Linked DNA regions of Drosophila melanogaster. The protein of the gene in region 4 interacts with the protein of the main gene of each other region in a pairwise test. Each region holds a gene or a part of one and is shown on either strand. Other genes may lie near its edges. The genes, in order: CG13186, CG12206, CG14655 and CG30178.

Region 1 (6,744 bases), about 12 Mb from region 4:
CTGGCATTCGCCTGCGTGGATTATTTTTACATCAGGCCGTCAGTGGCTTGCATTGCCAAACTGCTTTTGGCCAACGGGCCAACGGGCCAACACCCACTTTTTGGCCGGGAATCGCACAATATCGCACACTCTAATGCAAAATGTTGCGGTCTGTTTGCATTAAAGCTCCCTTCGCACTGTGCCTTTTGGCAATCGTCCTGGCTTGTCCTTGGCGTGTGGTTTCCCCTTCGATATCCCGGTGACAGCTGACACATGCATCCACTTCCACCTCGAGCGAAGGAGGCTGCATGGTCCATGGCCGTTCTCTGGACTGGACATTAACCCATTTCTCCCCGAATAAGTCGTGACACGAAATACGAAGAACGAAAAACGCCTCGCTGACATTTCTTTGTGCCGGTCGCATAAAATCTGTTGAAATCATCGGAATGTCGCGGCAACATTTTCGTTTTCATTTTTATCTTTTTTACTTTTTGGTTATTTCTGGCTGCTGCCTCTGCCCGCCATTTTTTACAGCCATTATATTAATATTAATGACCTGCGCCACGAATGTTGCTAAATATTTTTGAAAGTCGCCTTTGTCTGCCGGTCAAGCGCTAAAAAACGCTCTGTAGTTTCTGGGCGAACATGACGTATGCGTGATATTCAAATTAGTCTTTGCACTGCGTTAGAATCGTGGCTGAAAGTCAGCCACCATAACCAGTCAATCAAAAAACCATCTGTAACCCAGACTAATTTGCATTTGCATCCGGACTCCGGAGCTGTGAAGCTCTGGAGCTCTGGAGCTCCGAACTGTGGAGCTGGGAAAACTCTGGTGAGAATCCACAGAGCCATAGTTTCGCATTTGCACACACGTAATCATCGAAAGGCAACCAAATCCTCTTGTTTTTCCACTGCAACTTTTCACGCTGCCTTTGTACTTTTAATGTTGGCAGAGTATTAGTATTAGTCCCAAGGGCCAAGCATGGAAGCACCCCTCTGGATTCCTGGTATTTGTTATTGTCATCGCTGTTGTTGGCCCACAATGTAATTTGGTTTGGACTTTCACGACTTGTTGGCTTCTTCCCCCTAGCCAGTTTGCAGTGGCAAATTTTCTGTTGCCCTCGGTCGATGGTTTTTCGGTTTACCAATTTATTTATTTCCAGCCACTTTCCTAGCTAGCTAGCTGCCCATTGTGTTGCTGGCACATTGCAATTTTCAAATACATCCGCAATGGATTTGGATGTGGATGTGTTTTCTGCTGCTCTTTTTGGAAATGTTACTCTAGGACTAGGGTTTGGATTAAAATCCAAAGGCGAACAGCAAATGAAAATACCATTTCTTGCACTTTATTTATGTAAAGCAACTAGGGCGTCATGCTGATTTGAAGGCAACATATAGATTGCACATTTATTGTATGCAAATGCAAGCTAAAAGCTTATAGGAAATTGATTTGCTCGTATAGTTTTCACTTTATAGTTTTAAGAGCATTTAAAAGCCGGCTAGCATGTGAGTGCCCTTTGTCTATTGTTTCAAATTCAGCTTTCAATTTAAATTGTTTGGATTACTCGTCCTCTATTGTGTACATTGAAAATGTATTTCGGGGTATTTGTTGTGTCAACACCAAGTGAACGAGATAGTAGCACCCACTACCAACTACACACCACATGTCCCGATTTAGTTGCCCTGATTTCTCAGCCAGACAATAGGACGCGTCGCTAATGTCCCCGTGCAGTAATAATAATATATATATACACATATATATCGTGTGGCTGCTAATGTGGCAGCATTGTATTGGGTTAATTATTCTGGTCGATTTAAGCATTTAACTTTTGAAAGGAGCTGTCAAAGTGTGATGTCAGTACGTCAGTCAACAATACCAGCAATATTACACACACAAAAGCCAAAGAAGAATCGCACTAATCGCCGAGCATTTTGTCCGCGTGGGTGGATGACGTCTTAAAGTTGCTCCAACAGGTCTCTGGCTGATTGTTTACTTTTCACGCCATGTATTAGCCATTGTTATGGTAAAGACTTTATAATAATTCAGACAACAAAGTGCGGCAAATGTTTACATGTCCTCTTTCTCCTCATCCCCGTCGTCAGCGTCCACGCCCACCGCCTTGTCGGGATAGAATTTCTTGAGTATCCTGTTCACATCGGGCACCAGTGCCTCGTAGTCCAGTGGGAACTTATCCCGACGCGGCGGTCCCTTCTCCAAGCCGGACCACAGCAGATGCTCCGAGGTGCGTGCATTTTGCGAGAACCCTATCTCGAAGGCTCCTTCCCGCGGAACCTGGCGTCCGTTTCGATTCTTCACCAGCTGGAACTTGCGCTCCGGTATCCGTTGCGTGAAGAATGTTCCGCACTCGTCGGCCTTGGTCTGGAAAATGGGACACTCGTACGTGTGCTCGATGTAGATCATGGAACGATCCTTGGAGAAATGCTCATCGGAGGACCAGTCCACGTCCTTTTTCTTTTTTGCCGGCTTCTTTGGTGGCATTGTGGTTTTTTTTTTAGATTACTTTCACAATTTCGAAGTGATTTTGTTAATAACCAAAACCCATTTTTATTTCGAATGTTGACAATCCTAGAATTCATAATTGCTTTGATTGATTGCTTTTTGGTTCACTTATGATTCTCTGGTACAAAAGTACTGTGAACCATAAATCTTCTTTCGTACATTTCAAAGTGCGCAACGATGTCCAGAATATTTTTGCTGCGCCTATTTTTAAAATGCATGACAATCCGAAAGAGTCAACAACTTTTGGTGGCACGCATACGAAAAGAATCGCTGTTCGTTTGTTAATTTGGCTACATTGACTGACAACGCAGCCGCCTTTGAAAAAATTACAAAAAACGATATTGTATAGATGCAGGGGAAAATGCTTCCATTGGCTGGGTAGCCACAATTTTGTTCATTATATATAGATTTTTGTTTTGTATATATGCAAAGCTCCAATATAGACGTCAATTTATGGCACTGTCTATATTCATGCAGAAAAGCTACTCAACAAATTCTATGCATAACAATAATATATTGTTGGACACAAAAACATGCATAAACAATGGGAGAAAACATAAAAATCGAGTATTTAAAGCAAGTAAATTATACGATGAGAGCATTTCGACGACTATCAGATATTCTTTACGGATTCCATTGAATGTAGGTTTATCACAAAATACGCTGATATTTATCATAAGCTGGAAGAAGATACCAATACCAAATCAATGGATTGTTTTCATAAAAAAATGAAGAATGAAATCGCAAACCCTATTATTTTCAAGTCTCTTAATAGTGTTTGAAGGACATCTAATTGAACTGATTTTAAGAGCAAACATAGTCTTCTTATATAATTTGTGCATTTTTAATTGGAATCATTTAAATTCTTATTTTGGAGCGTAAACATGATTGCAACACTCTTTTATTTGCTTGATTTTATTGGTTGCGGGATTGCGAGATTGCAAATGGTCATTTATTGCATTTTATTTCTCCATTTCTCGTGGCTGAAGCTGAATGATTTTTTACCTTCAGCTGCCCACACGTGGCCCGCATTTTCCTGATCCCCCCCAACCCCCTCTGACCCAGAGGGTCATGGTTTATTTATGCAATTTTCCAATTTTCCCAACATCGGCCCACAAATAAAACCGAAATGAAAGCATACAAAATGCAGCAAAGAGCTGGGAATTTAAAAAAATAAAAAACCAAAAATGTATATGAAAATGCAATTTGCAAATTAACAACAACGCAATTGTAAACAACAGTGACAATGACGTCACAGTGAAACATACAACAGAAATCTATTCGTTGTGGGGTTAAGAATGCAACTTTTGGCGTTTGCACACATACTAATTATGCGCATAAACTGTGTATTCAAAACTAGGGTCATTTTGAAGCAATATTCAAATGAGCCAAAAAGAATATTTCAACAAATGTATCTGCACACTCGGAGTTTTTTTTCTGCTGTTTTTCCGCTGTGGAAAAATAATCATCGATGCTGCGGCTTCAGTGGGGCAGCGCCAAGAGCAACAAATATTTAAATATATTTATTATTCTGAATAGGCGTGCCAGCGTGTGTATATGTATCCCACATACGCATGTCTGCACATACTTCAGATATATTTTTAAAAAATCAAAACGACAATTTGCTGCTTGCATCATTTTGAAATACAACAGAACTTGAACGTCGACGTCGACGTCGCCAGCGGCAGCGGCAGAGATCGTCGATCGGCGAGCGAAAATTTTCGGCAGCTGCAGGCAGCGCCACTCGATCGTACCGCTTAGTGCCACGCCGTGTCTCAGAGCGCCCAGGCCACGGGCCCCCAAACCGTACCGCTGCGGAAAATCGATCTTGAAAATATATACAATACAAAAAAAAATCTAAAACTCTAGCACCGGATATATTATAGTCTAAGACTACGAGAATTGCCCACTTCATTGGGAAAGTGCGTGAAAATCCGAACATTACCATCGACCATCTACACCATCATCAGCATCCGTCATGCAGGTCTTCGATAACAATATGGTAAGTGAAATCTAGCCTGCGGCAAAAAAGCCATTTGTGGCCATGTTTACGCAGGCCAAATTTATTGTCGCCACGTTTGTGTATACCTTATGGCACACTTAGCCCAGTTAGCTTAACCCAGAAATGCCAATACACAAACTCCAGTCTGGCATAACCACGCCCATTTTGGCCGCAGAAGAAAAGGATATCCTTTGGCGGCAACGAAGGAGCAGAAAGGCAGGAAGTCATGCGGTGTTCAGAACGGGCCGCCAAATTAATTACAAAAATTCACTTAATGGCCACGATCCAAGTGGGTCAACGTACGTGCGAGCCACTAGAAATTGAAAGATGCAAAATGCTAGATGCAAAATGCTAGATGTAAAATTTAAGTGTTCCGCCAGAGACTTGTCAAAATTCTACCGCCTGCCTGGGATTTTAAGTGCAACTTAAATGGATGTAGTAATGTTATAATGACTACATTATAATCAGATTTGCACAATAAAAGTCTTGACATTGAGGCAAACGATTATGAACATTCCACAAGGGATTGGATTTTTTCCAAACGAAATACACATCAAATACATTTTCATCATGAAAATACAGTGCGAGTATTTTTGCAATGCCAGAACTTTCCATTCCATTTGATTCGGCCGCATCATCTAAAAATAAATATCCATATCTTTATTAATAATAAAAATAAGCTTGGAGACATATACCGATTTCTTGGCAGCTGAGCGACCCCATTAAGTACATAAATCGTACATAAATACACATAAATATAGATATATCTGAACCGGCAGCAAGTGCATATATGTATATGTACATACATAGATCGGATCGAAATTGTCGCCCATATGTAGGCCACTTACAGAATGGCGGCATTAGTCACATATAATACTCACGTATCTGTGGCAAACTAAGTCCCAAAATTGGTGGCAAGGTCGCCGGATGACGAAAGCAATCCGAAATGACATGGTCGATTTCCTTTTAATATTCCAGACAGCACTAGGAGGTATAAATAGATCCGGCGATTTTACAAATCCGGCGAAGGAAAAATAGTCGAAGCAACCGAAATGGAATTGCTTTATTTTCAGGCCGAATAAATCAATTGGCTTCTGTATTTATGCAGATGCCACCATTTGATTATTTCGCACTGTCGTTGATTTATGGCCAATGGCCAAAAGGGGCTGCCAAGGGTGCCCTCTTGCCAGCCATTTTTCCCACACACACAACCGACCGATTTTCCAGTGGCTTTCCCACACTTTTTCGAGAGTATTGTGCACGTCATGTGTAATTGCTATACGTCAATGTCAATGTGTGGGTTAGCGTCTGATAAATGCAAGCATATGTATATGTTGGTGTAAGTGCTTGTGGTCGTTTCCGGATCCTGTGGCTGCAATTGGTTAGCTTTAATGAAATGCCCGATGATATATTGTTGGGCAAATATGTGCTCGACCATTTCATCAGCCATTGAATTCGAACATTGAGCAGAAGTATTATCGATTTCAACGAGCACCAAATCGGAAGTCCTGAGTCAATAAATTGTATGGATTGCAAATGGCAAAAGATTTTCATCAGCTTTTCTCGATTGGCGGGCAACAGATTGCCGCTCAGAGTTTTCCAGCGAATTCCCGACTAATCCAAATAAAACTTCACAGCTTCCCCGACAATTCCGGTAAACTCAGGACACCTGTCAAGCAGAAGAAAGCACTCAATGCAATTCTGGGAATATTTCCAATCGGATATCTTTGATTTTCCGCTATGGAAATAAAAACAATGAGTGCGTGCAATAATTTGCATATTCACCTTATTTATTGATCAAAACACAAACAAACGAGAGCTGCCACAATTGTTTAAATATTTCCCAAACAAACAAGGCGCAGCTATTTTGTCTGGCTATTTATAGAGCTGAAAACTGAAATGCTAAATGCGCTGCAATGAAATGAATAATTAAATTGGCATATATACCACCGTGATTAATATCTATCTATGTATCTATATATCTTTTATCCTTTAGCGCCGTGCCTCGCGACGCGCCTCCTTGCGACGAGGATCCATATCGGCACTGCCGCAGAAGTCGCACGAGATTCCCTGGGACATATTCGAGCGACTATTCATGCCCTTCCTGTTCTGCCAGGCGGCGGCCATTGTCACATCGCACCTGCTCCACGCCCTGGACATCTCGAGCATCTCGACCTTCGCCGTGTTCGTCTGGTTCGCTCTGGCCACCGTGGGAGCCGTGCTCTTCTATCACTTCGTCAAG
Region 2 (8,589 bases), on a different chromosome or scaffold from region 4:
AGGGTCTTTTTGCCACCTTTTCTGTAGTGCTGTAAAATGCTATATATAATATAGTGAAATTACTATAGCAATTTTTGGTTAAAATATTCAATTTCAATCTTTGGAAGGGGACTTTCGTGTGCAAGTGGGCTTGTTATCGGGTCATTACACACATAAACTTTCGTTTTTTTTTTTTTGGCCAAACCGATTAGTGCTTAAACTTAGACATGATTGTTCACAAAATTATATTGGTAGATGTGTGTATGTATGTATGTATGTATGTATGTATGTATGTGTGTGCTCAAACTCAAATTAGCTAAATGATATTTTAATGACACCACTCCAAATGCAAAAAAACTCGTATCTGAAACAAAAGGCAAAAGGAATCGGCTGCGGCCCATAAAATATAATTCGATCTGTCTGCTCAGTATATCCGATTGTTGTTACTGTTGTTGTTGTTGTTGTTGCATAATTAACGCATTAGTGGCTCTTTATTATGATAATTTGTGTGTTTCTTGAACAAATTATGCAAGCTGTTTTTAGCCAAATAATTTTTGGTATCTTTCATTTTTTTTTATTTTAGCAATAATTATACATTGATTTTGGTTTCAAGGTTGGCTTTGCTAATTTGACTAAGAAAAATCACCAAACAAAAACGTGTGAGTCGCCAAAGAAGTTGACATTTAATTCGTTGAGAAGGCAGTCAAATATATTTGATTGAGTCTTGGATGAAATATTGATGAACTCCCTTGAAGTTCATGGGGGTGACAGCCCTATGATAGAGTTGTCGTCGTATTTTATATAAATTCACGAAGGTTGCTTAATGCCACAGAGGTTTTGGAATCTACACAAATGGTAATAAATGTAATGTAAGATAATAGAAAATGTACCGATACTTGAAATTATTGAACTACCATCAAAGTTTTAACTGCCCGCGTGGCACTTAGCCAATCAGATCGAACACCAATTATTAGGTAGATGTTGTAATAGTTGCTCAATGTCCAGGGTTAACTCGATACCGCCTGTCTGGTAAATTGATTTCGCAAAACTCACATTAAAAAGGCGTTTAAAAGCGATATACAATAGGCCAGAGATCAACCCGATGACAGGGCAAAAAAAAAAAATCGAGGGTATTTCAGAAGTGCGAGCGTGGCCAATTCTGGCACAATAAAACTGCGATTCGACGCGCTTCCCCTCCACCAAAAAATAGGTCAATTAATTTTGGTTTTCGTTTTGTTTTTTTTTTTTGGAACCCCCCCTCGTTTAGAAGAGAACTTTCCACAAAAGAGAAAACCGAAATCAAAAGGTTTGAGAAATAAGACAACGAGACAAAAAGACACTTGCAATTAGTCAGGTGGCGGATCATTTAAGGCAAACTTTATATGTATAACTTATCTAGCCGACTATCTGGCTTTGTACTTCCGTCAGCATTTTAGCTTTCTTTTGCCTTTTCGGATTTGATATCCATATAGAAATGAAGGGCGTATGCGACATATTAAGCCGCTTAATGGCGAATCAAGCAACAACAAGCTCCGCAAATAGACAGCGGCAGTCAGGTGTTAATTGTCTTTCGTGAAAGAAATTTCTCAATAATAATCGTAATGAAATAAAAAAAAAAAATATATATAAAAAAAAGGCGGCAATGAATCACCGAAATGTCTGGATTCACTTTCACACAGGCCAACAAACGATCCCTCACATGCAATATATATGTATGTATTTAAATATACATATAAATCAGCATTGCATAATGACGCCCAACTGCAATACTATACTTGTATCTTTAGTTTCGAATGCATCTCCAGTGTAGGTGTGAAAAAGTCAGCGACCCAAAGGCAAAAGTTAAACAACAAATACGAAAATGTTCAAAAATACACACACACAAAAAAAAAAAGAAATCCATACCGAAAAAACTTTCTCAATGAATAACCCCCACATGCAATTGAATGAGTGTTTGTGTGAATCATATTCAAAGTTGGCGCATAATATTGTAGTTTTGTGGTATTCAAATATTTATTCGAATTTCTCATGCGCTAATTTAATACAAACGAAACTGAAAATATTTTTAAATTCGATAAATAATTTGATTTTGATTTAAGGCGGAATTGACATTCTGACATTCTTACATTTTTTTTTTTTTTTAAATTTTGAGTGCCAATGGTGAATGCAATGACTTTCATTGCTGAAATTGTTCACTTAAATTGCAATTGCAATTAATGAATTCGCTTAATGTATCCATTCAACGAATACATTGCACATTTTCCATGCCTTTTTTTTATTGTTGAATGGGCTTTGTTTCGCTGTTTTTCTCATTGGAAAAGACTATCTCAAACAAAGTATTCAACCTGATTTCGTTGCTTACTCTTATTAGCAAATCTCACCTTGACATTGGGCTGTTGCAGTTGCAAGAAGGTGGCTACTCCATTGCGCACACGATTCTTGACGCCCCGTACGGTTCCCTTGGCGGATTTAATTGTAGAATTGCCGGCGAGCTTGCCCGCCGTTCGAATGTCACGAAAGCCAACAAAATCCTCACCCGGCTGCTCATCCGTAAAGTGCTGCGCTTCGTATTCCGTCGAGGAATTGGAACCAAAACTCCGGAAATTCTCGTGTTCGCGCACATGGAATGTGTAATAGCCATCCGTTTCGAATTGCAATGGTCTGCCATTGATTTTGGTGACCAGAGGACCGGACGCTCGTTCCCTGAATCGAATATCCCGCAGCAGGGTAGTGGGCAGCAGGCCACCAGAGTGCAGGGAATCGCAGCTTAGCGATGAGTTGCTGCTCTCATCGCATTCCTCGCTGTCATCGGTGAGGCTATATGCTCGCTTCGGAACGGGACTCGGCGTCTCCAGCGGGCTGTGCTTATGGTCCGCCTCCTCGTTGACCATCAGCCGCGTGGTCTGCAGATGAAGCTCCAGTTGCGGTGATCTCACCTGTTGCGGCTGCTGCTGCTGCTGCGGATGATTCTCCAGATCGCTGCCCGTGCCACTGTCCAAGGTCTCGCAGGGCGAGTACTGGCCACTGGTGTCCACCAAATAGCACATGTGCTGCTGCATCTCCTCCACGCCCTCGTTCAGCTTCACCACACTTATCTGCTTGCCCAGTGTTCGCTGCTGACCCTGGCTTTCGATTTGAATCTTCACCGTATTGTTGTGTTGCAATGTTGCCGCTGTGTCCGCTGCTGTTGCTGCTGCTTGACTGGCGGCAATTTCACCATTGCAGCTGATTATGGTCGGTGATGTTGCTGTTGCTGCTGCTGCTGTTGCTGCTGATGCTGCTGCTTCTGCTGATGCTGTTGCACCGGCAATTTCTCCGCCAATGCGCAACAGTAACTGCGGATAGATTTTGTTGGTCTCTGGTGCTGCTGTCGACTTTGCTGCAGTGTCGTAACTAGTTTCCAAATTATCTTTGGCTGTTGCTGCTGTGTCGCCAAATGCCAGCAACATGCCAGCAGCCTGTGACTTGAGCGACATTTCAGTGTTGCTGTTGCTCTTGGCAGTTGGTGCTACTTGTTTTGTTGCGGCTTCTGCTTCGGCAGTTGCGGTTGTTGTTGCTGGTGGTGGTGTTGCCGTTGCCACTTCTGGCGATTCAATGATTATGGAAATACCGCGCATTGGCTCCAATCGCGACACATTGCTAGTAATTGCCGCCATGGTTCTGCAGCATCTGGTTGTCGATATCCGATTTCAGATATCCAGTGCCTAGATCTCGTGCCTCCAAGCTGATGCAATCAAGTGCCGGCTAATGATGTTGCTCCTGTGCGTTCCACTTGCAGCTGCCTCTGCCTCTGCCTCTGTCTCTGCCGTTGACCGTTGCCAAGTGCTTTACAGTTAGAATGCCGCCTGCATACGATTGAAGTAATTGCCGCAGTTGCCTCTGCAAGAAATGTATTTATGCCAATGAAATAAAGTTTTATTTATTTTCGACTGAAATTTTGACGAGCCGTTGAGATTCTAATAGTCTAAAAAATGTCTAAATATGACCCCAAAGCTAACCAAGATAGGTATTTTCAATTTCTCCAAGTGTGTTAGACGCCGCCACACGAGCTTGACATTTAAGTTGAAGATGATGCTGAATAAATGTTAAAGGCTTTACCAGCATACTAAAAATACAGATGGGAAACCAGACAAAAAAAAAAATAATAATAATCATAATAATGATAAACACGAAACACCGCAAAAAGCAGAAAGAACTGGCTAAAGAATGTCGTAAGCAAAAGGAATATAAAATTCTGAATACCCTGTAATTTTTGCAGCTAATCATTTCTTTTCTATACATATTTGTAAACTAAGCAATTAATTGAAACAATTTAAATATAAACAAAAGATAGTTATTGTAACGAAATCAACTTCAGATATCATTTCGTTATTAATGTAGCTACATATGTATGTATGTAGCAAGCCGTATCGATTAGTGCAGCAACTTTTTCGATTCCGACAGTGAATGTTCTTCAAACTTAAGAACGAGTCGGAATTTACATTTAAATTGCTGAGGAGGAACTTGAAATATTGGGCGCGCACAGCCCGCGGCATTTTTGACTGCGGTTTTTTACGATTTTTTTTTTTCTCTTTGGAATCTGGAAACTGGTTACACTTGAACCTGGTATTTGTGTTTTTTTTTTCGTTTGTTGTTTGGAAATATTTACCCGTTGGTATTGCTGTTGTTGTTGTTGCTGCTGCTGGCCTGCATTCGCCGCTTATTGCACACAATTTTCATTTGATAGCATACCAAACAAACACACACACAAAAATAAAACAAAAATTGAAAAAATCGAAAAAATCAAAAAATTCAGAGATTTTTTATTGGACTATATTTTTTCATATATTGCACACACGCACGCAGTCTGTTTTTTTCCTTTAGATTTTCATGTTGCTGTGCTTACTATCAATCTTTGATCTTTCGTTGGGATTCTTCAGTTACTATATGTAATATATATGTATATATATGCACATGTATATCGGCTTGAAAACACGACTTTTGAGAACTCGCCGCGCGTACAATCCATTCAAAATCGCGCTGGCAACTGAAGCCGCAGCAACAAAGTCGCTTTGGGTTGGCGTGTTTCGCCAGGGATTGTTTTTTTTTTTTTTTTTTTTTTACCACTTCTTCTTCTTCGCATAGTTTCCTCTCTGTCTGCCGCCCATTCGCCGACTCTTTCTCAAGCCAGTTGTTGTTGAGGTTTTTTTAATTTTTGCTTTCAAGAAACTCACAAAAAAAAAGCAGCAGCCGCTGAAATTACCTAAAACAAAAATAAAAGAGCTTCAAGGCGATGGTTTAAATACACTGTCAGCAGATTTATTAGCTTATTAAGTACGCAATTAAGTCAGATTTCAAGTATTGCCCTAATAATTAATAATATTTACTTGCTACACATTTGCTTAATTATTTTTCAATTATATTGAAAATATATTATATTTATTATTAAATGCATAGAAATAGGTTGCATTTATTTGACATAGCCTGCATGTTGCACGATGAGTGCAAAAGTCAACTTACCCCAAAGGAAAAAGCGGGCAACAAATATGCGCCGCTGAGAATTTGTTTACGTGCGCATGCGCAGCCGCTGTCGACGGCGCTGCCTCTGCCGCAGTCGCTGCCCATGTCGACGTCGGCACTTGTCCGTCGCTTTTATTATTGTTATTGTTATTGCTGGTCTTGTTGCTGCCGCTGCTGTTGCTGCTGCTGTTGCTGGCGGCGCAGTACTCGTTTGTTGCCAAAGTTAATTGTTTGGTGCCACAGCTGCACAGTGGGACATCGAGAGTGCGCGGGGCACAGTGGGCAGTGGCAATTGGATGGCTGAATGGAATGTGGCAAGGCCTCAAACTGGTTTTCAGTTTTTAGGGGCTCAGGTGCGGCGATAACGCGATTGAGACTTCAACACGAGAGCAGGAATTCCGATTCCGCTGGCAATCAAAACAGCTTGCCGATCAAATTGGTTCAGTTCGAACCAAGAAATATATATATGTATATATATATATAATAAACATATGCACTTCTGGATCTCTGAAGCTGAAAAAGCTAACGAGTTGACCCCATGCTGATTCTAGTTTCAAACGAATCCTCCTCTTTGGACGCATTGGTCGCATTGTCGCCCAGAAATTTCCGCCTTAGAAATATGTACATATGTACAACTTAAGCATAAACAACAACTTTCCATCAAGCGACTTCGTCGCTCCGGCTGAACAATTGCCAAATGGATTTTAGCTTTTAATTATATTTAATACCAAAGTGTTTATGCAAAGGAAAGAAAAAAAAAGAAAAAAACCGAAAGAAAGACGCCTCGAATTTGTGTGTGCAATCAACGGAATGTAAAGCTGCACTTGCAGTATGCAGAAAGTACGAGTGCAGCAGCCACATGCAACAGGCGCTGCAGCTTGTAATTTACCGCTAATTCGATGCAGTGAGACGTCCAACGATGACGACCACTAATGTATGGTATGCATGTACGTATGTATGTACTTATGTATGTTTGTGCTTGCCACCGCCACCCGTACCGCCCCCAGTGGTAGAGGTACCGCTCCGCCCAGCACGATGGCCGGTCACTTGGCCAGTTTGTTTCCGCCTGTTGCGCTCCGCTGAAGTCACAAGGGCTGCTGCAGGCGTTGGCCAATTCAGATTACCGTTGCACATGCGCACACACACTCACACACTTTGCTGCACTGTGAGAAAGGAGTGACACTTGTCCATCGATTGCCAATGAAAAAAAAATATTTTTTAAAGAATTTTGTCGCCTTTCGTTACATTTGTATATGTTTTACAACTTATTTATCTACATTTAACAATTTAATTCCATTTTTTTTTCACTGTGTATTACTTCTAGTCAGTGAAAAGAAACTAGCCAAGCTTCACTAATCAATGGAGAAGTTTTTATGAATTCAGGATTTGTAAAGGAGTCGTAGGCTAATTGAAAAGTGAAAGAAAAAAAATAATCCCAATTTTTTGTGGCCAATTAAAATACCATATGAACGTAGGCTTTTTTTTTTTATTATTTATTGTCATTTAGTTGCAATTGTTGTTATGACTTAACAGTTGCAAGTTTAACATAAGTTAATAATCATACGTTGAATTATCTATATCATAGTTTCATGTGTTTCAATGCAAATGAAAGAATTTTACATCAATTAGAAGTTTCTTGTGAGCTAGCAAAATAAGGATAACAAATTCTGTAATAATCATCGAATTTTTTTTTTTTTAGCAATATGATTTTAATTGTTTATCGTAAATATATTACTATTCATTTTCAAGTTTTTGCAAACTGCGTGTGTTCCATCTGCGTATTCTTTGCGGGTAATAGAAGGTCGCCCATATATCGCGTCTCTTTCGTTTTGGTTTAAAACTCGTTTCGTAAGGGTTCCTTTATTGTCAACATCAATAACATTAAATACATGTATAATATATGTTTTCCTTTCGATCTAAATAGATGTGTATAATATATATCGATGTATATATATGTATAAGTATACCATAATGAAATTGATAACTTATAATACAGTGCAATCCATTGCTACATGGAGGAGTGAATTTCTTTTTCAAGGGTTTTTAATTTTTGATCGATTTTAAAAATGCCCAGAAGTGTCCAGAATTGTGTTTCAAAACGAATTCACGCGACCATTAGCTGCATTTCAAACACACATAAATAAATGTATATATATATAATAATGAGTCGTTTAACTTTAAGCTGCCATCTCCAGTTATGTATATGTATATCTTTATAGGGTTCATTTTCCACCTATTTGAACGGTTGCGTTTGCGATTTGTTAATGTTTTTCTTTAATGTAAATGTATATGTAAATGTATATGTATATGTATATATATATAACTACAGATATACCTATAGGCCATAAGTACAATGGAGTGTGGCGATGATAACGATTACCAACAAGTAATTTTATTCGTATAACTTTCGATTAGAGCAAAACATAACTCATTTCCAATATACATACATATCTCCGCCATCAAATATCTAAAACACTGAGACTTTAAAGTAGTTTTTTTAGGTTTTAAGCATAGTTTCGAATGTGATATGATTTCGTGATTCACACAGAAAGCCGTCGAGCTGAGATCACAACAGAGAATGAACTGTGCTTGATATAGTCACTGTATAGTTATAGTTATATATCTTCTATATAGGTGGTGCCCTCCCCGATGTCCCTTGCATGATATGGTCAAATTAAAGAATTAAGTCTAGAATATAGCATAGTTAGTCGAATATAGTTATCATACATATATATATCGTATATAGTCAGCAAATTGTGTTTGTGGCAAATTGTACGTTTTCTCTTTGATAGCGAAATCGGATATGTAGACCCTATAAGGGTGGCCATATAACAAACTCTAAACTCTCTCTGCCCTTTTTCGACAAAAAAAAAAAAAAAAACCAAAACCAAACCAAAGAAGAAAGGCAATGGAAAACAATAATCGCGTATATATGTATATGGCCACATGCTAATGAAGTTATGCGGAAATATTTCCATTGATTTCGCCCATTTTTTTTAATGCATTTCTATAGCTTTCTGCTTGAATGAAACCGCGCATCCAGCGTCGAGTTTTACCTAGTATTGCTATTTTCCTATTTTCATTTTCCTTGTTGTGGTTGCTTTGCATTAT
Region 3 (8,915 bases), on a different chromosome or scaffold from region 4:
TCGAACCGGGTTCACCTGCAGCGCATGGATAACCGTAGTCAGATGAAAAAGCGCGATGAGAAGGCCAAGGAGCTGGAGAACTTCGCTTCGGTGATGGAGAAGGTTAACGCTCGGCTGAAGTCTGTACAGAACAAGGCCCTCAATGCGGAGCAGCGGCTGCAAATTCTGGAGGAGATGATGCAGGCGGAGGAGACGGCTCTGCGAAACCTGGACAAGGAGCAGGAGAAGGTCAACGAGATGTTGTACCGCACCCAGAGGCAGGTCATCGAGCTGCAGGACGAGGAGAAGGTCTTGAAGGTGCAGAACGACTCGCTCAACTCCAACCTGGCAGCGATCAATCGCAATCAGCAGCAGGTCAATAACGAACTCAAGCGGCAGACGGAGATCCATTACAGCCTGTCCTTTAAGTGCTTGGAGGCGGAGCGGCGTCTCGCCGAGATCAAGGGTCTGGCAGATGACCCCGAGGTAGAGGCCACAAACATGGCCCGGCTTAACACTCTGGAGCAGGAGTATGAAAAGTTGCAACGCCTCATCGCCACCACGGAGGCGCAGAATAAGAAGCTAAACTATAACATGAACAACCTGGTCGTCCAGTACAACGCCGACGAGAAGGAGCTCGAAATGGTCAGGTTCAAGATTAAAGAGGCCCAGGTGTACTGCGAGGGCACCGTCAAGAGACTGCGCCAGATTCGATACGAGAATTCCGAGCTCATAGTCGACCTCAACATGGTCAAGATGCGCTGCAGCGACCTAGAGGTTGGCATCGGAGGCTGCGAGCAGGGCACCTACGACCTAGAGCAGCACCGCCTTGCCTTCCGGCGCGCCATCAAAGATCGCACCGTTGAGCTTCGCAGCCAAGAGGATGTGCTCCTCCTCAAGAAGAAGCATCTTAACGAGGAACTAAGCACCCTGCGAGCCGACCTCGGGGAGCGGAAGAAGCAGATTGAGGCGATGAAGGCGCGCTTTGAACTTACCGCCCAATTGCTAGGCAAAAACGAGGACGGCTCCATCATGACCAGCACACAGCTGAAGGTGGTGAGCGCCCAGGAACGGCAGATGCTGGCCGACGAGGGCGATGCCCTCAACAAAAAGGTTCTCAAGGCTGAGAAGGAAGTGGTCGCCCTGGAAAACACACTGCGCCAGTTCGACAAATCGAACGATAACTACCGAAAAACATTCCGATCTGTGGACGAAAACTCAAAGGGTGAGTTATAAATGACCATTCAGAGTGGAAAGGGTTACTAGTATTAGCAACATTGCTCTAATTTTGAATTTTAATAACACTCACAGATACAGATATTGAATAGGAACAAATTAGGTTTTCTGGCTCTATAAAGAATAGATATTCTTGATCAAGATCCATACCTGAGTCGATCTGGCCATTTCCGTCCGTCCGTTCCGACTTTCAGTAACTATAATAGCACATTAAGCGGTCATATTCTAGCCATGTCTACAAGCCGGGTGGCTTAGAATTGTGTAATTCAATGTTAAATTGGTAGATTTTTTCCATACTTCTAATTTCTAGATCGCGAGCGGGCCGAACTGGAGCTGAAGGAACTTGAGGCGGCCTACTGCCGCGAGCTGGAAAAACTGAAGGTTCTCAGGTGCAAGGCACAGCACTACCAGCAGAAGCACGCAGCCCAGCGAGCTGAGGAGGAAGACCTGATTTCCAAAATAGAGAAGGCGAAGGCTAGTCGGGCGGAGCACTCTGCAGTTCTGGAGAAGATCGAGCGCGAACTAGATGACCAGCGAATGAAGCTGGACAGGGCCAATCGAGAGATCCGGACACAGTTGCGGGAGATCAAGGCGCGGCCCTTTAGCGAGGAGTACCTGGCGCAGTTCGAGCGGGATCTGTCTCTACAGGAGCTGGAGGCGCGTAACACCAAGGCGCTGAACATGATCACCGATCTGGCGAACAGCGACGAGAGCGGCACGGATATAATTGGAATCCTCTTGCGAAAAGGAATCAAGTTGCCGATGCACCTGAAGCGCACGTGCAGCCGCGTGTCCTGGAACAGCAGCTCCTCGGGCAAGTCCTCGCAGGGTCAGGACACCGCCTCCTACCTCAATGTTAAGGGCAAGAAGTTCTCCTGCGACGGGGCTAGTGCCCGGTCCTCCGTCTCCGACATGAGCTCCCTTAAGGATGACACATCCTCCACAACCTCCCACTCCGGACTGAGCATCATATCGCTTGAGTTGCCCTTGCCGAAGAAAAAATAATAGTCTAAAATATATTTATTTATTATTCCGTTCGATATCCGATGATCTCAACCCGTATGCTCGTATCTTCACGTGTTGGCATCGCAGTGTTTACAAATTGACCATCTAAACGAAACAGCGAATAAAATGCGTTGCCCAAGCGGGTCAAAACAAGAGAGCATCGCGGCCATAAAAATAGCACACAGCGATTCAGTGGGGGTATAGCTCGGTGCACATACACATAGGCGGACAAATGTGTGTGTCTAGGCGATTGCTTGTTTAAATCGCTGAATAGTAAATACTCTACAAAAGTATTACACAAAATATGTATATTAGCTACCACCTTTGGTGTGGGTTTTGTATTGGTTTTGATCAGATCTCAAGTAAGCTCATTACAGCATTAAGATTTAGACGGATATGCTAATTCAATCTGAAATACTCAATCTTCGTATTTTCCTAATAAAGAAATATATATAATAATAATATTTTCTCAGTTCTTATTTACGAAAATGAAACGAATGATTTTCACTGGTCCGAAACTAAAATCGAAAGAAGAAATCTCCAATAAGAGTACATATTAATGTGTTTACTTTTTATGGAGTGCTTAAAAAATGGAGCGACAATTGCAGTAACCAACCATATTCCAATTGGATATTGGCGGAAAAGCCAATTATTAAACCAATCTGGCGATAATGATAGATCTCTAGATAAGTCCCGCAAATCGCATGTGGTCATCTCAGCGAATTGCTCCTGCGCATCGTGCGTTACAAAGACTAGAACGAAGGCTATATGGCCGCCAGTGCAACATATATCGGCCAGAAATAATTCTACATACATATAGTATATAGCCGTGCTCAGAGCTATATTTCGAAATGAGCTACCCAGAGACACGGAGAAAAGAGACTGCCTTGTTCGAGAGATGGGATTTCGGTGCTGCGAGTGTTTCCGAAAGTCTTCTTGACGATTCGACGATCCGCGCCGGGCATTTCATTATTTTTCATTATTTCGTTAGCTGGCATCGGTGCCGAGAAGTCAGATTGCTGGGCCCAAAGTTTTCAAAAATCTTCACTTGCTGATATTTTTAGAAAATTTTGAAAGCAGAAAGACTAGGCAGTCTGGGAATGGACTCCTGAATAGATGATCACAGACCGAACAGGAGGATAATCCCAATAGGAGGTGAAGCATTTGCATAAGATTCGATTGAGTGCACTGGCGAAATGTGTTCCACCTCGGTGCTGTGTCCGCTCTGCGCGGTGCCCAGTTTCGGCAGTATTGACGCACTGCAGCAGAGGCTGATCAAGGCGGCCAACGGCCCACTGGCCTGTCCCTTTGCCAACTGCAAGGAGCTCTTCCTGGGGCTGGACAAGCTCACCATCCACCTGTTCTCGCACACAAGTCTGATGGCTCAGGAGGGAAACGAGAGTCCAGCGAATGGCCAACCCGCCTCGTCCCGGGGCTTCCTTGCCGCAGCTCCTCCCAAACGGAGGGCCAAGCGAACCAGGTCCAAGCCCGTCGTCCCAACCCCACCGCCTGTGCGGACCACCCCGCCCGCCCACTGCGACATTTGCGAGTTCAGTTTCCGGAATACCGAGCTGAGGGACATGCACGTCCGCTTAGTCCACGAAAATGCGGAGGGAGAACCCAAGCAAAAGGAACCCCAACAGAAGGAACCGGTAACTATTGGCTATGTACATATATTAAGTGCTATTATCTAAAGAGTTTCGTAATGCACTTTCGCATATTCTTATATCGATTTTGATTTTTTTTTTCTATGCTCACTGGCAGCAAAAAAAAATCATACTTAAAAAGCTAGACCATTTACATTGAATCTGAAACAAAAGTTTGACGTAATTAAAATCAACAACAACAAGAAAGAAATCTATATACCCTTATATTTTAAAAACAACTGATGTATGTACGTATATCGTTCCCATTATTTTCAATTAATTTTTCAACTGTTCATATGACTATGTATATATATGATAGATATTAATTTGTTTTTGATCAATTTAAAACCATGGCAACTTTGTGATATAGTGAATGAAAGTGAATGATTTTTGTGCATAAATTTGAAACTGAGAGACAGACGGTAATGTAATGGAATATTTGGCCATGAGGGCATATTGATGAATTGATAAATATAAGTGAAATTCCGATTATTGCTTTATACAGGACCAGGAGCCCTACAAGTGCCATCTCTGCTCCAAGACGTTCCGAATGAAGGGCTCCCTTCGAATCCACCTGAAAGTAGTGCACATGATGGGCGTGCCCTGCTCCAATCCCAATCCAAATCCTAATCCCAGTCCTACACCCGCTTCTACCACCAGTGCAGTTACTGCCACGCCCAAGCTGAGCATTTGCGATCGCATTCGACACACAGAGCCTGGAGCCCTTGGCAACGGAAATAACTCCACGTGCACCGCATCCCAGCCATACGCGCTGAGTGGGGCGCTGAGCATGCTCCAGCAGTCCCCCAGTTCGCCGGAGTCGGGCACGGCCACCCCGAAGCTGTGGGAGTGCGATGTGTGCAGCAAGTCCTTCACCACCAAGTACTTTCTGAAGAAGCACAAGCGGCTCCACACCGGCGAGATGCCGTACACATGCGAGATCTGCGCCAGGACCTTCACCTTCCAGCAGTCGTACCACAAGCATTTGCTCTACCACAGCGAGGTAAAGCCCCATGTCTGCGGGGTTTGTGGACGCGCCTTCAAGGAACTGTCTACGCTGCATAACCACCAGAGGATTCACAGCGGCGAAAAGCCCTTCAAGTGCGAAGTCTGCGGTGAGTATCGATCAAACCCCTTAATTAGCCGCCCCTTATTTTGTTAGCCAGCTTATAAATGAGCATACTCCATTGCGATTTGCCCTATTTACTTTAAATGAAGGAGAGGTATACCTTCTTTTCCGGGTCACTCCATGTCTAACCTTTTCGTATTTCGGACTCGTCCACAGGCAAGTGTTTCCGGCAGCGAGTCTCTTTCCTTGTCCACACGCGCATCCACACGGGAGTGATGCCCTACAAGTGCGAGCTCTGCCAAAAGACGTTCAGGTACAAGGTCAGTCAAAGGACCCATCGATGTCCCACCGAGGAGGCCCAGACACCGGAGCAGCTGATAAAGGCGTTCCTGGAGGGCAACGACTCGCATACTCAGCCTTCACCAGCGAGCGCCGAAATAGCTGCCATCAACAGCAGCTCCATTGTGGATCCTGAGCAGGAGGCACTGCTTTCGCAGTCAATCGACGACATTGTCGTTGAGCAGTGCCAAAAGCTGGGCATCTGTGGTGTGGAGCCGCGGGAGGAGGGACAGCTCATATCCCTACAGCCGGTTGCGGTGGTACACTTCAGCGGGAATGGCTCTCCGCTGCAGCAACTCCAGAACTTGAGAATCTACTCACCGCAACAAACAGAGCTACCTAGTTCCGATGGCGAAGTCTTCCAGCGCTTTTTGATGGACGCCACGTAGTTGGAACGAAGATGCATATATCCACTTAATTTATACCCTTTTATATCATTTTACATTGTTTGCACTTCCCCAAAGGCGATCTAATCAATTCCTAAGCACCCCCTAAGAAAAACGTCTTAATTACATCTTCTTATGAGGATATTATTTGAATCTTAGTTGTTTTATCTCAGCCAAGTGTAAATCGACTAGGACCCGACTTGTTTGCAATACAACAACAACATCTAATATAAATTATGTTAAACTGCCGATTTTATTTAAAACTATTCTGGGCAACGAACCCGAGCGCTGAGTTGAGGCGAAAATGATATTAAATCGAGTTAGTTCAGTTTTCAAATGTACTTGGTTGATTATAAACTTATTTATTATGAACGCCGTTTTTTGTAATTAATCATTCATCTGAGGCGCTTCCAGAGCTGGATCCTGAACCAGAAGGCGAGCCACTGCGAGACCGGCTGGGCGATCGCGACCCAGAGCCAGATCTGGAGCCCGAACGTGATCGGGAACCGGACTTGGATCTCGACCTAGAACGCGACCGAGAGCCGGACTTGGAACGGGATCGGGAACGTGATACCGATCTCGATCTGGATCCGGATTTCTGGGATCCTGCCGGCGAATTTGTGCGTGATCTGGAGCCGCTACCAGACCGAGAACCAGACTTTGAGCGGCTGCTGGCCCGAGAGCCGGAGCCAGATCCAGATCCTGAACTGGACCCGCTGCGAGTTCGACTCCGAGAACGAGACTGTCGATCGCGGGCTACCTGGGCGGGTGAGTCCGCTCCAGATGCTGCCTGTGCGCCAACAGCTGCGTCCTCGCTCGTCTTCTCCGTCTCGCCAATGATTTGCATTTGCTCCTCTTCCCTCACTTCTTCCACGATCTCCTCCTCCTCGCCAGGAACTTCTAGCTGGCGCTCGCGATAGCGCTGCATACGATGCTCCATGCTGTCCAATGGACGATGCTTGACAACCTGGTAGAAATAATACAAAGTAAAGCTCGCTATAGATGTATGCGCATAAATATACTTACCAGCTTGGTGTTGTTGGGTTGCTGGCCAACCTTAACGCGACGCTTGTTAAGGCGCACACGGGTTTCTAGCTCGTTGTAGTAGATGCCGTCCTGACGCATCACGAAGAAGTAGTTTTCTTCGTAGCCCTTGGAAGCTTTGGTCTTCACGTTCCAGTTGTACTCTCGAGCGATCTTGTACTCGTACTCCTCCTCCTCCTTGTACAGCTCGCCATTGATGAAGTCTGTACGGCGTTTCTCCAGCGTCTGCTCTGTGGGCAGGAAGTAGGCGACAAACTGTTCGCCGCTCTCGTCCATCACACCACGAATCATGGCCTGCGACATCTCCTCCAGCTGGGCGGGCACGTTCTTGCCCGCAGGAGCGGGATCACTGTCAAATATGACCTGGGCGCACGGGAACTTCCAGTTGGTGAAGTCGGGGAAGATAGGCAGTACCTCCACTGGCACCACATTGGGCTTGGAATAGTGCTTGGTAATTTCGCTCTTGGTGTCGCTGAAGGTCTTCTCGATGGCTTTGATCTGGGCTTCGCGGTCCAGGTAGAGAGTCTCCTCCCGAAGCGACTTCTTGACGTTGTAACCGACCTTGGCCTCGATGTTCTCCAGGTTCTGGGGCTGGAAGCGCGTCTGCTCGGTGGAGATGTACTCGGATTTGCGCAACCATGACACCGTCCTCGAATGCTGGCGCGAACGCACAGAGTCTGTGGGCGTCAGAGTCTCCTCCTCCAGCAGTTTTTCATCGGCGGGGTCCAGCAGCGTCATGGAGTCGGCCTGATAGAGCTCCCGGTTAATCAGGTCCACCGTGACACCCAAATCGTGTTCCGTCAGCACGTCATACTTGAAGTTACGCTCTAGCGACGTTGGGTTGTACTGCACGAAGCGGTGGCTGTCGAAGGGGTACTGCAGAAACTTCAGATCAAATGGTATATCCGGCAGGTTGTTTCCATACTTCACGCGGCAAATGATCTCGGATCTGCAAGGTACACATCAGTCTGAGTATCTGGCGTCTGTTTAGGGATCTGTTCACTTACTTGCGCTCCGTTTGCCGCTGGGGTCGCTTTTCGGCGGCACTGTTTACCGCCGAATTGTTGATCGTGGGTGGCATTGTGTCTTCCAACAGGTAATTCAACTCAAGCCCCAGTTTTGGTAGCGCTTCTAGTCCATCAAGAGGCCAAATCTAGAAATCCTCAAATCTGCGCTTGGCAGTGTGACCGTACTTGACCGGTACGATAATACCTTCGGTAAAAAAAATACTATATTTCCGGGGACTCAAATGCAACATCCTCATCGTATATAACACAACATCTATTTGAATTTCATTTCCACAACTAATATTATGGATAATGCTTTATTATCATTTTCCAAGTTAGCGATAAATCACCCCACAAGCTGAAAAATCAACGTTTAAAAACGATTGATATTTTTTTTAATACTTTTTGGTTTTACTATTTGAATTTTTGTATACTTTTAGATTTTACTATTTTAATTTTTCGTTTCTTCTAGCTGACTAACGGGTAAAAAAGGATCCGATCCTGATTACGAACGGCTACCAGAAATGATTAGTATATAAATGATATATGTATATAAAGTACTGGATAATAGAAAAGCTCCCACAATGCTCCCAAAAATGCTCTCAGTGTTTGTTCGAATTTATCGCCCCATCATCCATAAGCCATCTAATTTCCAATAAGTCACAGATCATTATCGCTGTTTATTTTCATTTTCTTTCAATAATATCCAATCTATATCTGTCTGTAACGAAACATGTCTAGTTTCCTTTTGGTTATTTTCATTTTATTGGCGCTTAGAACGTCAGAGTCTTCTGAAACTGGAAACCCACTTGCAAACGAGCCCGATCCATTATATATGAAACTGGTGGATCCCATGGTAGCAGGAGAATCACCTAAAAGGATGATTAAGGATCAGAAAGATGTAGGCCTTAAATCAACTAGCAGTAGCGAAGAGCTCCGAAAATTGCCAAAAACGCGAGGTCGACAGAAGAGATTCATTCGGAATCCAAACTATGTGAAAGCTAACGAATTCTATGATAAGATGTTAAGCAGTGAATACGTAAGTAAGCGGTATAAGGATCTTCCGCCGCCTCATCCGGGATTTGGAGCGGATCAACCGCCAGCATGAACAGTGAATAACCAGTGGAATCTGTGAAATTTTCCTGTTGGCCATTCACATTATACGGCGACCATAATGACTGGGAAATTGCCAAAGTAAACAATA
Region 4 (6,678 bases):
AGCACCGAAGTACTGGAGTATAGGTAGCCGGAAAAATACAGATTCGGATTGGCCTCGTGGGCCTTGCACGGCACTATCCACGAGAAACTGAAAGTAGAGGGATTCACCTCCTGGGTGAGCCATGGATCTGTGATTAACTGGTGCATGGTGCACCGGTACTTGGGATCCTTATTCAGCATGGAGCTCAACAGACGGCTCAATTGCTCGGACACAGCTTTCGGTATTTGAATCTCGGCCTTCAATGTCTCCTCCACATCGATGAATGGATTTTCGAAAAACATCAGAACGTAAAGCGTCACACCAAGGGCCCAAATCTCCAGCTCGGGACCCACGTATCTGTTTCCGGCCAGAACCTCCGGACTGCAGTACTCCGTCGTGCCGTAGAACGTGGAGAAGAATTTTCCCTCCTCCATGAAGGTCGCCGATCCGAAGTCAATCAGCTTTATGGTGAAGTTCTGGTCAATTATAATGTTCTCGTCCTTGATGTCCCGATGCAGTATCTTCTGTTCGTGCAGATAGTTGACGGCATCGGCCACCTGACGAAAAATGTAGCTTCCCAGCTTTTCGTCCATCAGGGGCCGCCGCTCTATGAACGTCCATAGATCCATTCCGGATCCGTGCTTCTCCATGACCAGCTGGTAGAATAGATCATTTTCGAAAACATCGAGAACGGACACAATGTTCTTGTGGTTCAGGGTCTGCAGCAGGTGGATCTCGATAGGAACTTCCTTGCAGTCGCGGCTCTTAACCATAAACTGAGAGCAGAGCTTCTCCTTGAGAATAAACTTGGTGATCACCAGCAGGCGGTCGCTGTTCCGGAAAGCCATATTCACATACCCATAGGCTCCTCTTCCGATCTGGCGGATGGACGTGTAGTATTTGCTGTAGTCGCCCAGGTACAATTCGTCCTCGTACTTGGACACCAAGGACAGAGAATTGGGTCTGCTGGAGTTCTGGGCAGCGGTGGTCTTTATCACCTGGCCCAGCGACTGCTCAACAGTGCTGGCCATGCTGTTGAATGTGGACGTTAGGTTTGCATAGTTGTACTTCTCACCGTCCAGCCGAGTGCTGGGGTTGCGGCACACCCAGATGCAGTACACCCGGTTGGAGCAGGGCAGTATCTGGAGGAGCACGGAGTAGACTACCTCTATGACGGAGCCATCGGCGTGAATGGCCTCCCCCACAAAGCTTCCGTTGATGGAACTAAGCAGTCTGGTGGCGGGATTGCTGCCGGAGGCATCACAGGTCTCCGTGGACGCGGACTTCGCCTTGTCAAGGGACGACTCATTCACCTGCGACTGCGATCCTACCTCAAACTCGTCAGCGGGGAAACTGTTTGAGGCATTTACAGGTGTTAGAATGTCATCTATTGTACAATCATCTGGCTGGCGGAGGTCGCAGAATAGACCACTGCTGTTCTCCAGATTGCAGCTTAGGTGGGCATCGCCCACCGAAGACTGTTCGTTGTTGGGCGCCGTCCTGTTAGTCGAGCTCTTCTTGCAGGATTGCAGCGAGGAGTCGTTGTCCACGACGAGGGGATCCGTGTCCGGCTCCCAGTCGTTACTGGTTATCGAGGTGTTCGAAACATTCGGACTCTTCTCCTCGCGAGAGTCCTTGCCGAAATTGGGTAGGATCGCCGATATATGCATGTTCATTATCTTGTCCTGACCATATCCGAACATTAGCAGCGAGAAAGGCTGGTTGCACATCAGTATGTTGCCTATGTCATCTACCACAATCAGGCCACTAAGATTCTGGAACACCCAGACGGTGATATTTAGACCGGTTTTTCCCGAATGGGAATACCCCGCAGAAGCATCCTCGTCCAGGGCTATTAGCAAGCACAGGGGAAACTTTACGTTATCCGTAGTTCGACCAGTAGCTCTCTGCTTCCGCAGGCTCTTGGGGATCTCACGGCTATCCGGATCGGGCAGCTTTATAAACGGGATAAGGGTGACAATGCTGACACCCACCACGCTTTCGACGGATTCATAAAAGAATATGGTGGCCGTGGTGGAGTCAACGGATGTTATCACTCCGGATCTATCGGTGCTGATGTGGCAAATATGCCTCTCCACAGGCTCCGCGACGGCTATGTGTCGGCCATCGCTGCTGATCTGCCGGATCCAGAGAGAGACCAGGATCTTGCCGCCCGACTTGGTCTTCATCTCGATGACCTTTCCACTTAGCAGGACGACCCGGCCCTCATCGCCTTCGATCTGCATCTCCGCCAGGGAGGAGATGTGGCTCTCTGTCTTGCCGTTAAGCAGGTCGAAGAATCCCTTGTTCCTCAACTCCTGCGACGTGTAGCCCAGCAGCTGGCAGGCCTTGTTGTTCACTATAAAAATTTGCCCTGTGTTCGCGTCGATTGTGAATATCGCCTTGTTCGGGTTGATCACCTTTGAGGAGTGCAGATTGGGGGGGGGCATGCTGAAGGAGCTGGCGTCCATCATGTTCAGCATGCCGGACGAGTTCTGGCGACTCTGACTGTGGCTGCCCATAATGGGGTCATCTGGGAATTACACGATTTTTTGTAAATAATTTAGTACCGCTCTTGAGTGTACATCTATATAGCTTTACCATTAGCACATCGGTTTCTGGAGCACTGGGCATTCGAACTACTCAGCTTACCAGCGGCTTGGTCTGTCACGTCGCCCTGATCCTCCATTTAAGCGTCGTATGTTTTCCAAGTCCCAGCGGTTCCAACTCGAGGCCTACAGCTACAACCAAATGAGCGCACCGTAAACATTGGGAACTCTGCTCGTAGAAAATCAATTGAATGGCGCATGCGAAAAGGGGAATTCCCCAGTGGGTCGAACGGAACGCAGACACGTTGAATTGGGCTGGCTTTTGTGGGGTTTCCTTTTGCGTTGAGGTGTCTTTAAATCACTGTATTCGAAAGGTTGAAAATTACACTTGGTTTTATGTACTTTAATGCGAACAAGTTATATATATTTGAATGTCCCGCTAACCCTTAGCCTGCAGCCCTGGCGCCGTCATCGATATAATGGCTCTGGGTATCGATTGCTGCCTAGAACGCACTTACTTACATATAAACTGGGCCTAGCTACGTGTGGAAAAATATCGGAGAGAGCAATACAAAACGTATTGTTCTTCCAAACAGGAAGGTTTTTTTTCGTTTTCCACAAAGTATTCAGTGCAGTGCACACTCGAATATAGTTCGAATACGGTGAAAATGCCACGCATATCCGAAATAGCCGCTTCCGTGGGGCTGCTCCTGCTTATCGGAGTGATCAGTGTGGATGGCCTTGTGAAAGAGGGGGATTACCAAAACTCCCTTTATCAACAGAATCTCGAGTCGAACTCCGCAACAGGCGCAACGGCTTCGTTTCCATTCCTGATGCCCAACGTTTCGCCCCAGACCGTAAGTCCAGGTTCCTGAAAAACGCCATACATATACATCATGGAGTTCGCTCCATATGGATGAACAGATTCGCCCAGCTGCAGCTGTGCGCATACAATTCCAATCAGATTAGAAAAGTCCTCGATATAGGCTCTGGTTTTTCCCGTATCTTCCGCGCGGGGAAAACCCATAAGAGTACTGTGCAAATTTTTCCATATGTTCAGTTGTACCCGAATACACACAATTCGCCACCCACATGTAAGGCCCTGAAACCGAAACCTGTAGATTGCACTTCTCGAACCTGCGCCGTAGATACGAATTTGTTTTTACGAGGGTGGCGAAAAAGGGCAAACGGCCCACTGAAGGCCATACTCCCATTTGAATAATACTTGTTGACTTATCCAATATGCCTGTTCTCTCTAACAAAACTAACAAATATATATATGTGTACATATATAGCCCGATCTGTACTTGTGCACGCCCATCAAGGTCGACCCAACTACCACCTACTATATTGGTACGTCCTTTCGAATGAGATTCATTCCTTAAATACTTCAACTAACCTTTCTATCTTAAATAGTTGGCTTCAATCCTAATGCCACGATGAACACGGCCCACCATATGCTGCTCTACGGATGCGGAGAGCCCGGAACCTCGAAGACCACCTGGTGAGTTGCAAGTGATGTTTTCAGACTAGTAAATAACACGCACATTTTTGCTCACAGGAACTGTGGCGAGATGAACCGAGCTTCCCAAGAAGAGTCTGCCAGTCCTTGCGGACCCCACTCCAATTCCCAGGTATTAAAAGAAAAAGAAATGTCCAAATAGGCCCCCAGATAGACACCACACATTTATTGGGCCGACAAATTTCGGGGACTCGGGACTACAGTTTGGCAGGCTGCGCAAATGGGTTGACCGTTCTCGATCCAGAATTCCCGTGCGCTGATCCTTTTGCGGCAGTGGTGGCACTTAAAGCACTTGGCATGCCACTTGGTGCTCAGCGCGACCACGGCTCGACGATCGATTGGCTTCTCACAGCCTGCGCAGCGGGACGAAAACAGTTCCCGGAAGTGCGCCTTGCAGAACAGGTATCCGTTGACTTCAAAGAAGCTCGCCGAGACCAGCGACTTGCTGCAGCTCACGCACCGGAAACACTTTTCGTGCCACTTGCGCTCCGCAGCAGCCACGCCGCGCTCTAGGATCGGAGTCCGGCAGGCGGAGCACCGAGCGGCATGCTTGTCCAGATAGCACTCGCTGCAGACCACGTCGTCGTCCACCGCGAAAAACAGTTTAGGATCAACCACCAGGCCGCACTCCTTGCAGGTGAAGTGGTGCGGATGGTACGTCTTACCCAAGCTGCAAACTGCCCGTGGCCAAATCTTCTCGTTGCATCTGCAGCAAATTGAAGCGGACATACTAGGCAGCTTTCTGATAGACAAATTATAAATTTTAAGGAAAAATCGGAAAGATAGTTTTAAAGTCAAATTTTGTCTTGTTCTTGACACAAAAATCGAACTCATATATAGTAACATTTCAAAACGATTGATGTGGCATATGAATAAAGATCGAAATGCGCGGATAATTAGGAGTTAACTGGCTAAGTTTTAATAGGTCAATCCTTGACAGTCAGCACAGTTTAATAAGAGTTTTGAACCTGTTTATCGAGTTTTTCCTTTAACTAACTGCCAAATGTGCTAATAGACAATTTCACCTACTGGACTAACACTTACCTCTCAACAGATCGTATACGCTTGGGCCAGAGACGCCCAAAAGTTAAATCTGCCCGAGGGAGTGGGTTTCAAGGTGGGCAAGAACTCGCCAATCAAGTACCTTGTGCTGCAAGTTCACTACGCGCACATTGATAAGTTCAAAGGTAAGTAATAGATTGCGTTCAATATAAGGAAATTTAAATGTGTTTTTCTTCAGATGGCTCCACTGATGATTCTGGTGTGTTTTTGGATTACACAGAAGAGCCGTAAGTTCCTTTCGTTTAATATGCGTGATTTTCAAAATAATCAGTACCATCCTGGCAGTCGGAAAAAGCTGGCTGGCACTCTGCTGCTGGGCACTGACGGACAGATTCCGGCGATGAAGACGGAGCACCTGGAAACGGCCTGCGAGGTGAACGAGCAGAAGGTGCTGCATCCTTTTGCGTACCGGGTGCACACCCACGGCCTGGGAAAGGTCGTTTCCGGCTACCGGGTGAGGACAAACAGCGACGGCGAACAGGAGTGGCTGCAGCTGGGCAAGAGAGATCCCCTCACGCCCCAGATGTTCTATAACACCAGCAACACAGACCCCATAATCGAGGGAGATAAGATCGCCGTGAGGTGTACTATGCAGAGCACTCGCCATCGGACTACCAAAATAGGGTAAGTACGCAGTGATTTGAAACGCAGCTCTAGCACCACTCCTAATCCAACTATTTATTGATGACAGTCCCACGAACGAGGACGAGATGTGCAACTTCTATCTCATGTACTACGTGGATCACGGGGAGACACTAAACATGAAGTTCTGCTTCAGCCAGGGCGCCCCCTACTACTTCTGGTCCAATCCCGACTCCGGCCTACACAATATCCCACATATCGAGGCGAGCACCTTGTAATCAGCGCTCGTCGAGAGCCAGGAAATCGGCCGCGGAAAGAGAAACGAATGTATACTACCTTACTGTCTGGATTATTTTATCGTGTGCAACAACTAATGATGGTTTAGCCTCATTCTGTATCCCCTTTTGTTGGCCACCAATGATTTATATAACATATTTGTGTAACGTGTAAATAAACATATGTAGATAATTCGCGAGAGCCGCTGGAGATCCTATTGAATGGATTTGGGAGCACTTAGCTGATCGCCGCAAGGTTAATCTCCTTCCCATTCGTCGCGCATAGCAGGAACCAGCGATCAGCGATCATTCCACTACGCAGTAAATGAGACTGCTCCGACGTAAATATTTTCAATGCAAAGCATTTATTCTCGCGTTTTTTGTATGTATATAGAATTTATGGAATATATGGTATTATCTGCATACATATACATATTTAATATATAATTTGGTGTAAAATTATAAACGTACAATTAGATTAGTTATAAATTACACAAACTTAAATATCTCTCACATTTTATAATAACTTGCAAACTCGTATTTGTTAGTGTTAAACTCTAAATGACTACCGGTTGGCTGAGGCGGCAAGTCCTCAAATGTGTAGGCTAGCAGAGCTCCGTTGTTATCGTGTGCGGCGTAGTTGAGATCATTGTGTGTTTCAATTACACTTCCGGTGTAGTCTTGTTGCGCGTATGTACAAGTGCTCCCG

Evidence for each region.
Region 1: the proteins of CG30178 (region 4) and CG13186 interact in a two-hybrid assay, tested with the Drosophila melanogaster proteins (one large-scale study listed by BioGRID).
Region 2: the proteins of CG30178 (region 4) and CG12206 interact in a two-hybrid assay, tested with the Drosophila melanogaster proteins (one large-scale study listed by BioGRID).
Region 3: the proteins of CG30178 (region 4) and CG14655 interact in a two-hybrid assay, tested with the Drosophila melanogaster proteins (one large-scale study listed by BioGRID).

Annotation. Positions count from the first base shown.
Region 1 is NT_033778.4:12,077,053-12,083,796, reverse strand, and holds CG13186 (uncharacterized protein), read right to left. Parts: upstream 2,522-6,744; 5' UTR 2,480-2,521; coding exon 2,048-2,479; 3' UTR 1,740-2,047; downstream 1-1,739. Other genes in the region: CG8888 (uncharacterized protein), read left to right, coding at 4,479-4,502, 6,499-6,744.
Region 2 is NC_004354.4:3,469,514-3,478,102, forward strand, and holds the start of CG12206 (uncharacterized protein), read right to left. Parts: upstream 5,012-8,589; 5' UTR 4,628-5,011; intron 3,938-4,627; exon of another isoform or gene 3,859-3,937; 5' UTR 3,636-3,858; coding exon 2,361-3,635; intron 1-2,360.
Region 3 is NT_033777.3:4,774,576-4,783,490, reverse strand, and holds CG14655 (uncharacterized protein), read left to right. Parts: upstream 1-3,188; 5' UTR 3,189-3,416; coding exon 3,417-3,872; intron 3,873-4,371; coding exon 4,372-4,981; intron 4,982-5,151; coding exon 5,152-5,663; 3' UTR 5,664-5,994; downstream 5,995-8,915. Other genes in the region: Ccdc39 (Coiled-coil domain containing protein 39), read left to right, coding at 1-1,204, 1,526-2,220; atms (antimeros), read right to left, coding at 6,052-6,627, 6,687-7,653, 7,712-7,785; CG44088 (uncharacterized protein), read left to right, coding at 8,445-8,819.
Region 4 is NT_033778.4:23,984,821-23,991,498, reverse strand, and holds CG30178 (uncharacterized protein), read right to left. Parts: upstream 4,885-6,678; 5' UTR 4,780-4,884; coding exon 4,216-4,779; 3' UTR 4,191-4,215; downstream 1-4,190. Other genes in the region: Pask (PAS kinase), read right to left, coding at 1-2,512, 2,581-2,668; Phm (Peptidylglycine-alpha-hydroxylating monooxygenase), read left to right, coding at 3,197-3,385, 3,824-3,881, 3,945-4,032, 4,090-4,162, 5,105-5,237, 5,291-5,339, 5,398-5,736, 5,804-5,972; Sox14 (Sox box protein 14), read right to left, coding at 6,480-6,678.